3 linked regions of the Saccharomyces cerevisiae S288C genome follow. Changing the gene in region 3 together with the main gene of any one other region gives a genetic interaction. Each region holds a gene or a part of one and is shown on either strand. Other genes may lie near its edges.

Region 1 (2,743 bases), on a different chromosome or scaffold from region 3:
CTATATAAAATGACGGCTTTCATACAAGTTTCGAAGCCAAATAACCGTATCACGTCACAAATACGTTTCTTGACATTCGGAGGTTCGCTATAAAAGTTAATTAATGGTCGAATCCCCTCCGTTTCGATTTCGAAGAGAAATAGTCTTCCCTCCAGGTCAGTGATCTTGCCAGATTGCATAATGTCCAGCAATTCCCATAGCGGGAGTAATCCCGGCACCACATTAGGAATACCATTTGGAGCATGGCCATTGTGTTCTTTCAAATGGTAGATGGTATCTAAATCTTCCTCTTCGTACGGTATACCGTAAAGTTCTTTCAATTCCAATGCAGATTCATTTGCAGATTTAAACGCACACCCTCCCACACCGTATATTTCCTCAGCAATATTCTTGTACTTGACAACATTATCAGTGGGAAATCCCTCCCCTCTTCCGGTTTCAGAGTCAACGAGGTAGAGCTCCTTAGTAACTTTCGTCTCTTCTTCACCTATGACAAAGAGTTTGCCCCTAGAAATCATATCCTGAATGGGTTTCAATGGGATATATTTACTGTGACACACATCCAGTACTTCCGCACCATAGTTTGCTTTATAATTCATCTTCGGACAGTCCTCAATATAGTACCCCAGGTAATAGTATTGCAGATTTGTCCTTTGAATGATGGCAAGATCGCGCAAAGCACTGAGCTTCCCTAGGGACCATTTACTGTAGTCTGGATCCCAAATAAAATATACCGAAGATATACCACTGGGCAAGATATCTGACACAGTGATGGCAATTAATTTACCCTCATAGTAGTAGCATTCGTGCACAGGACCCATATGCTTCAGTTTCTCGCCTGGCTTCATTCGCTGCCAATTGTTTAACTGCTCCCATGATTCTTGTGTCCCCAACACCGCTTCAGGGCCAAAGGGCGTATCACATAGGAATCGCTTAAAGGACTTCGGCGAATTATTGTAGTCTTGATGCACTTTTTCCTGATATTTGACAAATAAGTGATACTTTTCTTCACTATAAAGTGCAGGCTCAAATCGGGTATAGAATGTTTTAGAATTCATCTCTGCATTAACAATTTTGCCCACAAAATCACTGCTTGCAACAGCGGCTGGGCAGTAGTCCTCACTTGTTATTCTAGTAGCAAAGCGGCTGATGCATTTTTTCAATTCCTTTGTCATATTCAATTCTTGAGGGGCAGTTCGAATGGTGTATAACCTACAACAATTCCTCAACGGGTCCACTTTATAAAGAAACTTACCAGACCTTCTAAATCCCATATTACACATGCGATCATACGTGGCTACATCCATATGTTCCACGAAAGAGCCAATTGTGCAGTTTTCAATCTTTACAACGTCCATTTTGTTCATATAACGATGAGCCCACGAATCCAATGCGAACAACTGATCCATGTTGCCCCCCTTATTACCGTGACAATACCCACACTTTGCGGCAGGTTCATTGTGCATCGAGGGAGCCCAAATAACGAATCTATCGGACATAATTGTGCTTCTTCTCAGTTGTATCTTGAGACTATCTTGTCTTTTGTAACAATAGCAATGAAACTCACAGCGTAATTCTTAACAATAGGTAAAAAAAAAACGAAAAAGAAAAGGAAACTAAAAAGATGATGCGAAATTAAAGGCTGAGGCTGATAATGGAAACAGGTATCAAGAAGCCCCACAAGCACAATGTTGAAATACTTGGTTCAACGAAGATTCACTTCTACATTTTACGAGCTGTTCCCAAAGACCTTCCCCAAAAAGCTACCCATTTGGACTATCGATCAATCCAGATTAAGGAAGGAGTATAGGCAATTACAAGCACAGCACCATCCAGACATGGCCCAACAAGGTAGTGAACAGTCATCAACTCTTAATCAAGCTTACCATACTCTCAAAGATCCCCTTAGAAGGTCACAATATATGCTAAAACTCTTGCGCAATATCGATTTGACGCAAGAACAGACCTCAAATGAAGTAACTACCAGTGATCCACAGTTACTATTGAAAGTTCTAGACATCCATGATGAATTATCCCAGATGGACGACGAAGCTGGTGTGAAGCTGCTTGAAAAGCAAAACAAGGAAAGAATTCAAGATATTGAAGCCCAGTTGGGACAATGCTACAATGACAAGGATTACGCCGCCGCAGTGAAGTTGACCGTGGAGCTAAAGTACTGGTACAACTTGGCCAAGGCATTCAAAGACTGGGCTCCAGGAAAACAATTGGAAATGAATCACTAAAGTACTCCAAAGTGGTAATAGTAATAATAATAATAGTGGTGATATAAAAACTGAAACAATGTAAATAGGTAAAGTACATATGTATATGGTAGGGCAAAGAGGAAAATAAATCAAGGGTTAAACCGCCGGTGTCTCGAACTCGCATTTGGCAAATTCTTCCCAGTCCTCCTCCGTGGATGGATATTGTCTCAACCACTTCATTCTAGGACCAGATACTGCCTCATCATTTATCCTGAACCCAAAAACTTTCAACTCGTAGGACTCTTTACTTTTCCTTTCCACATACTCTTCCAATTCTTTGAAATGTTTCAAGAACACACCAGGGAAGCTTGTCCCCCAAAATGCACCTTCTAAGCACAGGAATCTAGATGATTGGGGAAGATACAAGTCCTGACAACTGGGACAGTACAACCTTACGGTGTGTTTCCCAACTGTATCGCTCAACCCACAAGGCAGCAACTGCATGCCATTACAATAGTAACGGGGGCACGTTCCAAATT
Region 2 (4,104 bases), on a different chromosome or scaffold from region 3:
GAATCGATTTTCTAGATTAGCCTTTTCGACTTCATGTTTGAAAATGGCTTCCGCCATTGGTGATCTACAGAAGTTACCCAAACAAATGAATGCGACCGATATTTTTGGTTTTTCAATTGTCATTTTCGTGTTAACTTTCCCTTCTCAGTTTTCTATCGCTTATCAAAAATCACAGGGTTTCAATTAGCCTTTTAGGAGTTATATTCTTTATTGGCTTTATACTTGAATGGTGTGATTCTCTCGAAGGGTTTAACATTCAAGCTCGGCCATGTGCTGGTACAAGGAAAAAGAAAGAAAAAGTAATCATTGAAATTTTTCTATAATACGTACACCTATAATATAAGAAGGAAAAGGACTGAGTGTTTGGAATATTGTTAAAAGTTTGAAACTATTTTTTTGCTTAATCGTTTATAAAAAAAGTTGTATTTAAGTTGTATAAAGTTTTATTTCATTTTTTCACAAATAATATCATATCAAATCTGATGATCTACGATCAGAATTTAGAAAGCTTTTTTCAAAGGAGAAATTAGCTTGTCACCCTTATAGAATGCAATGGTCTTTTGAGCTCTTTCAGCAACACCTTCTGGGGTGAAACCGAAGAACTTGAAGACTTCTGGTGCCTTACCGGAGGCACCAAATCTGTCAATACCGAAGGATTGATGAGCGTATTTGCCCCAACATGTGGTAGCCAAAACTTCAACAGACATGATTGGAACGTTGTCTGGTAAGACTGATAGTCTGTATTCTAGGGGTTGTTTGTCAAAAGTGAAGAAATCTGGTAGAGAAACAACACGAGCCTTGATGTTCTTTGCGGCCAAAGTCTTAGCAGCTTCAACACTCAAAGACACTTCGGAACCAGTAGCCACTAAAATAATATCTGGGTTAGCAACATCTTGTAGTACGTAACCACCCTTAGAAGCGCTTTCAATAGAGCTACCTTCCAATTGTGGCAAGTTTTGTCTGGACAAAGCAATGATACTTGGAGTATGCTTGGATTCTAAAGAGTTCTTGTAGGCGGCAGAAACTTCGTTACCATCAGCTGGTCTCCAAACTTGAATGTTTGGTAGGGATCTGAAGTGTGCTAAAGTTTCAATAGGTTGATGTGTTGGACCATCTTCACCGACACCGATAGAGTCATGTGTAGCAACCCAAATAACTGGGTGGCCAGACAAAGCGGACAATCTAACGGCACCAGCAGCATAAGAAACGAAGTTCAAGAAAGTACCACCGTATGGTTTGTAGTTGGCACCGAAAGCTGAAATACCGTTCATTATGGCACCCATAGCGTGTTCTCTAATACCGTACCTAATGTATCTACCAGAGTAGTTACCTGAACCGGAAGAAGGAGGTTGGAAGTCAAGGGCTTCCTTCCATCTGGTCAAGTTAGAAGGTGTTAAATCGGCAGAACCACCAATCAACTCTGGCAATTGATTGTAAACATCCTCAAGAACAGTTTCTGATAATTTTCTAGTGGCCACGGCAGAGTCCTTGGCGGTGTAAGTTGGCAACTTAGATTCCCAATTTGCGGGTAGTTGGCCGCTCAATCTTCTAGCCAATTCAGCACCTAATTCTGGGAATTTCTTTTGGTATTCGCTGAACAACTTGTTCCACTTGTTGTTGGCTTCGACACCTGGCTTTAAAATTGTCTTTTGGTAGTGGTCGTAAACTTCTTGTGGAACAACAAAGGACTTGTCTGGGTTGAAACCGAATTTGCTCTTTAGTTGTTTAACATCATCTGCTTTCAATGGGGCACCGTGCACAGAGTGAGAGCCGGCATGCAAGGAACCGTAACCAATGGTTGTGGTCATTTTGATCAAAGTTGGTTTGTCCTTGGATAACTTAGCTTGAGCAATAGCCTTGGCAATACCGGCTAGATCTTCGTTACCATTTTCTACGTACAAAACTTCCCAACCGTAGGCTTCGTATCTCTTAGCAACATCTTCATCGAATGAGATACTGGTAGCACCATCGATAGTGATCTTGTTGTCATCGTAGATGGCAATCAAGTTACCCAATTTCAAATGACCAGCCAAGGAGGAAGCTTCTGAAGAAATACCTTCTTGCAAACAACCGTCACCCAAGAAAACATAGGTGTAGTTGTCAGACAAGGTAAAGCCCGGCTTGTTGTAAGTGGCAGCCAGGTTAGCTTGAGCCATGGCCATACCAACAGCGTTGGAGATACCTTGACCTAATGGACCGGTAGTAACTTCAACACCTGGCAACTCAAATTCAGGATGACCTGGTGTTCTGGAACCCAACTGTCTGAACTGTTTCAAGTCTTCAATAGACAGATCGTAACCAGTCAAATGTAGCATAGAATACAACAAAGCGACCGCGTGACCGTTAGACAAGACAAATCTATCTCTGTTGATCCAGTCTGGGTTGGTTGGGTTCATGCGCATTTGACTCCATAGAACGTGTGCAGCTGGTGCCATACCCAATGGAGCACCTGGGTGACCTGAGTTGGCCTTGGATACGGTGTCCACAGCCAAAATTCTTATGGTGGAGACGGCTAGCTTATCAATGTCAGTGAATTGAGTCATTTTGTTTGCTAAAGAGGTAACTATGTAGAGTTGCTTGGGATGAGCTTCCTTCTCTGTTGTACTTCAGTTTGATCTGAAACTTAAAAAACGAAATTTAAAAGGAAGACAACGGTGAGAACAAGAAATGAATGAATCAAGAAGTCACGATCAAGTATGTAGGTAAAAGATCAGGGGGGAGTATGTACGTAACCAAAAAGATTGGGAAAGAGTTTATATATGAATCATGCCTACGATCGTACCTTCTTGGCTTTCCCAAGAAAATTTTTCATCTCTCGAACTTCTCGAGAGATTGCGAACGGAACGGCAAACGCCGCCGGCATTTCTCGGAAAGAAGACTAGAAAATAAATGACGGTGGGAAAAAAAGCAAGAAGCTACGGTTACCCGCAGCGGCACTATAGTAGATGGGCTTTTAAGCCCGTTTTCAGGGTCAGGTAATATGTAATGTAGTAGCACTTAAACTTGCTAACCATAAATGACCAAAATGCAAGTTTGCTGTATTTTAGTCCCGTTGGCGTTTTCGGATGCTTCATTCCCCAGAGAAGTGATGTGTATGCGAAAAATGTCTCAATGCAGCTTTGGCTGCTGCGGAACTTATCCGCTTTGTAAGCACATCTTGTTTTAATGTGTATGAATTTTTATATTTGGTTCGAAAATTATGACATTCGGCCAAGAAACTTTCAGAGGAGCTGTGTATTAGCAGATGGTAAGCGCACGTTGAAAATGCTGAATATTATTAATTTAGACATACCTTGATGGCTGAACAGTAGTCAGAAAATTAAAAAAAAAAAAAAAGCGCTTATTACGGCGTATACACGTAACTATATAGACGTAGATCATTGAATATTGATATGATATAATATTTTCCCCGGGATTGCAGAATACTGACACGCCTTTTATTTATCGTTCATCGTGTATTTCGAACTTGTCCTCAAACGGGCTCTCAGTGCGACTGCCCTGGGTGCTCTCGCGTATCGATTCTGGAATTTCCAAGTCCAGTATAAAACTTCCTTCTTCATCGTCATCTTCGTCGTTATTACCATGGCTTGCCTCGCTTTTTGCCATGTGTGAAAGATCATCCGCCTCTGTCTGTTCTTCAATGACATCCAAGTCCTGAATCTCCTTATCACTCTCTTCCTCTGCGATTTGAACCAGTTTAGGTTTAGCACGAATAGCAGTTATGAGGTTATCGTCTGCGTCCTTATTGAGTACCTGGTTATGCTCGTCATCTTCGTCATCCAGACCATCCAAGATGGAAGAACCTAAGGTTATATGTGACCTGATATCACCAGCTGCATTTTGTCTCTTAGAGCTCGAGCGTAGTTTTGATTGCAGTTTGTCGGTACTCAAACCGCTTGTCACACCAGGAATGTAGGCAATAGGCAAAATATTAGAAGCCCTTGTACGAGTGGTAGATGCTGAACTTCTGTTTCCCGGCACGTTGAGAGTTGGAGGTACCAGTGACGTATTGAACAGGGTGTGACTTTCATCTTTTCTCATACCGCCATCATCCTCATCGTCTTCATCATCATCGTCTTCATCGTCGAAGTATTCCTCTTCATT
Region 3 (3,591 bases):
GAGGGTCTCAATTATTGACTAACTGGGAAAACATGACCAAAAACCTAGATGATTCTGATGATGTTGTCAAGATTGCTCTTGTGGGAAAATACACTAATTTGAAGGATTCCTACCTATCTGTGACCAAATCCTTAGAACACGCAAGCATGAAGTGCCGTCGTCAGCTAGAAATCCTCTGGGTAGAGGCAAGTAACCTAGAGCCCGAAACTCAAGAGGTGGACAAGAACAAGTTCCACGATTCATGGAATAAGCTCAGTTCCGCCGACGGAATTTTGGTTCCTGGTGGATTTGGCACGAGAGGTATTGAAGGTATGATTCTTGCTGCCAAATGGGCCCGTGAATCCGGTGTTCCCTTTCTTGGTGTCTGTCTTGGATTACAAGTTGCCGCTATCGAGTTCGCCCGCAATGTGATAGGCCGCCCAAACAGCAGTTCTACAGAATTTTTGGACGAGACACTACTAGCTCCTGAAGACCAAGTAGTCATATACATGCCCGAGATCGACAAGGAACACATGGGTGGCACGATGAGATTGGGTTTGAGGCCTACCATTTTCCAACCGAACTCAGAATGGAGCAACATAAGGAAGCTTTATGGTGAAGTTAATGAGGTGCATGAGAGACATCGTCATCGCTATGAGATAAACCCGAAAATAGTGAATGATATGGAGTCTCGTGGCTTTATTTTTGTTGGTAAGGACGAGACGGGCCAGCGTTGCGAAATATTCGAATTGAAAGGCCATCCATACTACGTGGGCACTCAATACCATCCAGAGTATACATCGAAGGTGCTGGAACCATCAAGACCGTTTTGGGGGCTTGTGGCCGCAGCCTCCGGCACACTTGGTGAAGTGATCAAGGACATAAATCTAAGCGAGGGAAATGAAAATGAATGAATTGATGCGCTTACTACTTACTTACATACGGTTTTTATTCAAGTATATTATCATTAACATTAGTTGGTTAGACCAATGACACCACAGGCTGGTCTTGGACCGGCATTACCAGTCTTCAAAGATTCTTCAGTGTCACCCTTACCTAAGTCATCTTGGCCGGCGTGGATAACGACGCTTCTGCCTACAACGGAGGTAGGACCGATAAGCTTGATCAAAGAGTCCTTGAAGGAGCCCTTGGCCACACCATTTTCGTCCGTCTTTACGTTACCCATGTCACCGACATGTCTGACTTCGTCAGTTGGAGCACCATGTGTCTTCTTGAAAGGATTGAAGTGAGGACCAGCAGAGACACAACCATTGGTGGCATCTCCAAACTCATGAATGTGGAACCCACGTTCTGCGTTAGGACTGTTACCAGCGATCTCGTAAGAGACAGTGGTTGGCTCGGATTCGGAAGCCTGTTCGAACTTGACAACACCAGAGACACCGGCATCACCCTTTAACACTGCGACTGCTTGAACCATTATAAATTAATTATGTTTTATTTGTTTGCGCGATTGCTTTCTTGCCTGTTTTTCCGCAACATAGTTACAGCTAAACATTTGCCCAAAACCATCTTCTTATATATATATCTGCGATGGCGAGCCCAGCGGAAGGGATGTCCGCTTACTAATTCCGACACACCGGTTTAACCCCCCGGCGTGCTGGGGTGGGTGCCCCTAAGGGAGCGGGTTCTGTACTTCCAGTAAGCGGCATTTGCGCTGTCATCGCCTTATCGAACCCGCTACTGAGATCATGTCCTGAGTGGGTGAGTCGCACGCCCAATCGGCTGCACTTCAGAGATACTTACGTCCAATTTCGCATCATGCCAATATTACCTGTGGAAGTTGAAACTTTTTTTGCAGATGCCGATAATTTTCACATGGATGAGTCGCAGTGTCGTCGTACGTGATGAGGGCAGGCTTGAAAATTATTCTTCGAGCCCAATTCTCTTTACTTATAGGCATGCCATGTCTAATTAGGTAGTCATCTCAGTTTATCTTGTGCAGGGTAGAACCAAAGATAACAGCAAAAGAAAGAGCAAGCAATTATGACCGCACCATTGGTAGTATTGGGTAACCCACTTTTAGATTTCCAAGCCGACGTCACGGCTGAATACCTGGCCAAGTATTCTCTAAAGGAAAACGACGCAATTTTGGTCGATGCCAAATCAGGCGATGCTAAGATGGCTATTTTTGACGAGCTCTTACAGATGCCAGAAACAAAGCTTGTTGCAGGTGGTGCTGCTCAAAACACTGCTAGAGGGGCAGCATACGTTTTGGGCGCCGGCCAGGTGGTGTACTTCGGTTCCGTCGGTAAGGACAAGTTCAGCGAGAGATTGCTTAACGAAAACGAAAAAGCTGGTGTCAAGTCTATGTACCAAGTTCAAAATGATATTGGTACCGGTAAGTGTGCCGCATTAATCACTGGCCATAACCGGTCCTTGGTCACTGACTTGGGTGCTGCCAATTTCTTTACTCCAGACCACTTGGACAAGCATTGGGACTTGGTCGAAGCAGCTAAGCTCTTCTACATCGGTGGTTTCCACTTGACCGTGTCTCCAGACGCTATCGTTAAGTTGGGCCAACATGCTAAAGAGAACAGCAAACCTTTCGTGTTGAACTTTAGTGCTCCTTTCATTCCTCATGTCTTCAAAGACGCATTGGCCAGAGTTTTGCCTTATGCTACCGTCATCATCGCTAACGAATCGGAGGCCGAAGCCTTTTGCGACGCCTTCCAATTAGACTGTGCCAACACTGATTTGGAAGCTATTGCTCAAAGAATTGTCAAGGACTCTCCAGTTGAAAAGACTGTCATCTTCACCCACGGTGTCGAACCAACAGTGGTCGTGTCCTCCAAGGGTACCAGCACATATCCAGTCAAACCTTTGGACTCTTCTAAGATCGTCGACACCAACGGTGCTGGTGACGCCTTCGCTGGTGGCTTTATGGCTGGGTTGACTAAAGGTGAAGATTTGGAAACCTCTATTGACATGGGTCAATGGCTAGCTGCTTTGTCTATTCAAGAAGTTGGTCCCTCTTACCCTTCCGAAAAAATATCTTACTCTAAATAGATTCTTCTTACAATATAATAGAAATAAAATATACTCTACGTGTTCCCTCTAGCTTTTCATTCGTAGACATGTTTACCGCTTGTTCTTAAACCAAATAAGCCACCGTTACCACAATAAGGAAAAGAGGCGCTATAAAGTACAGCTTCAAGAAAAAAGGACAAGCAGCGCTAAGAACAAAATACTCGTTCATCCTCTCCACATACGGCCGTACACAAGCAACAATAACACAATAATATGGACTGGGCAATCAATGTCGCCCATCCACGATTACTTTACAAGGATCCTAAACTTTCAGTAACGTTTATTGTGCCGAGCTTATTTCATATCATTATTGCTTTCGTGTTATTAGGAATATGTGCATCCGATTTTCTTTGCCCCAACGTGGCCCATATATCAGATCCCAACAGCCTTCGATCGAATGGTTCTTTAGTCTCAAAAACGGCGTCCCATGCATCTCATACTGGGGCATTAATGGCAGTTCTACTATCTTGGTGTAACTCTTCGCCTGACCTATTTTCCAACTTAATGAGCTGGGCAACCTCTACGAGAGAAACAAGGTCAACCTCAGTATCGCTATCAATTGGT

What was found. Genes that interact genetically often act in the same process or in processes that back each other up.
Region 1: of SOD1 (region 3) and JAC1, a mutation in one rescues a mutant of the other (synthetic rescue), as found in Saccharomyces cerevisiae (2 studies listed by BioGRID).
Region 2: of SOD1 (region 3) and TKL1, extra expression of one rescues a mutant of the other (dosage rescue), as found in Saccharomyces cerevisiae (3 studies listed by BioGRID, with this or other methods).

Annotation. Positions count from the first base shown.
Region 1 is NC_001139.9:458,610-461,352, reverse strand, and holds JAC1 (J-type chaperone JAC1), read left to right. Parts: upstream 1-1,688; coding exon 1,689-2,243; downstream 2,244-2,743. Other genes in the region: ATE1 (arginyltransferase), read right to left, coding at 1-1,499; casein kinase 2 regulatory subunit CKB1, read right to left, coding at 2,361-2,743. UniProt on the Saccharomyces cerevisiae protein: Co-chaperone required for the assembly of iron-sulfur (Fe/S) clusters in mitochondria. Stimulates the ATPase activity of its specialized Hsp70 chaperone partner SSQ1, to mediate the transfer of iron-sulfur clusters from ISU1 to GRX5.
Region 2 is NC_001148.4:692,296-696,399, forward strand, and holds TKL1 (transketolase TKL1), read right to left. Parts: upstream 2,544-4,104; coding exon 501-2,543; downstream 1-500. Other genes in the region: tyrosine protein phosphatase LTP1, read right to left, coding at 1-123; OPY2 (Opy2p), read right to left, coding at 3,442-4,104. UniProt on the Saccharomyces cerevisiae protein: Catalyzes the transfer of a two-carbon ketol group from a ketose donor to an aldose acceptor, via a covalent intermediate with the cofactor thiamine pyrophosphate.
Region 3 is NC_001142.9:621,598-625,188, forward strand, and holds SOD1 (superoxide dismutase SOD1), read right to left. Parts: upstream 1,418-3,591; coding exon 953-1,417; downstream 1-952. Other genes in the region: CTP synthase URA8, read left to right, coding at 1-893; ADO1 (adenosine kinase), read left to right, coding at 1,984-3,006; ECM27 (Ecm27p), read left to right, coding at 3,241-3,591. UniProt on the Saccharomyces cerevisiae protein: Destroys radicals which are normally produced within the cells and which are toxic to biological systems.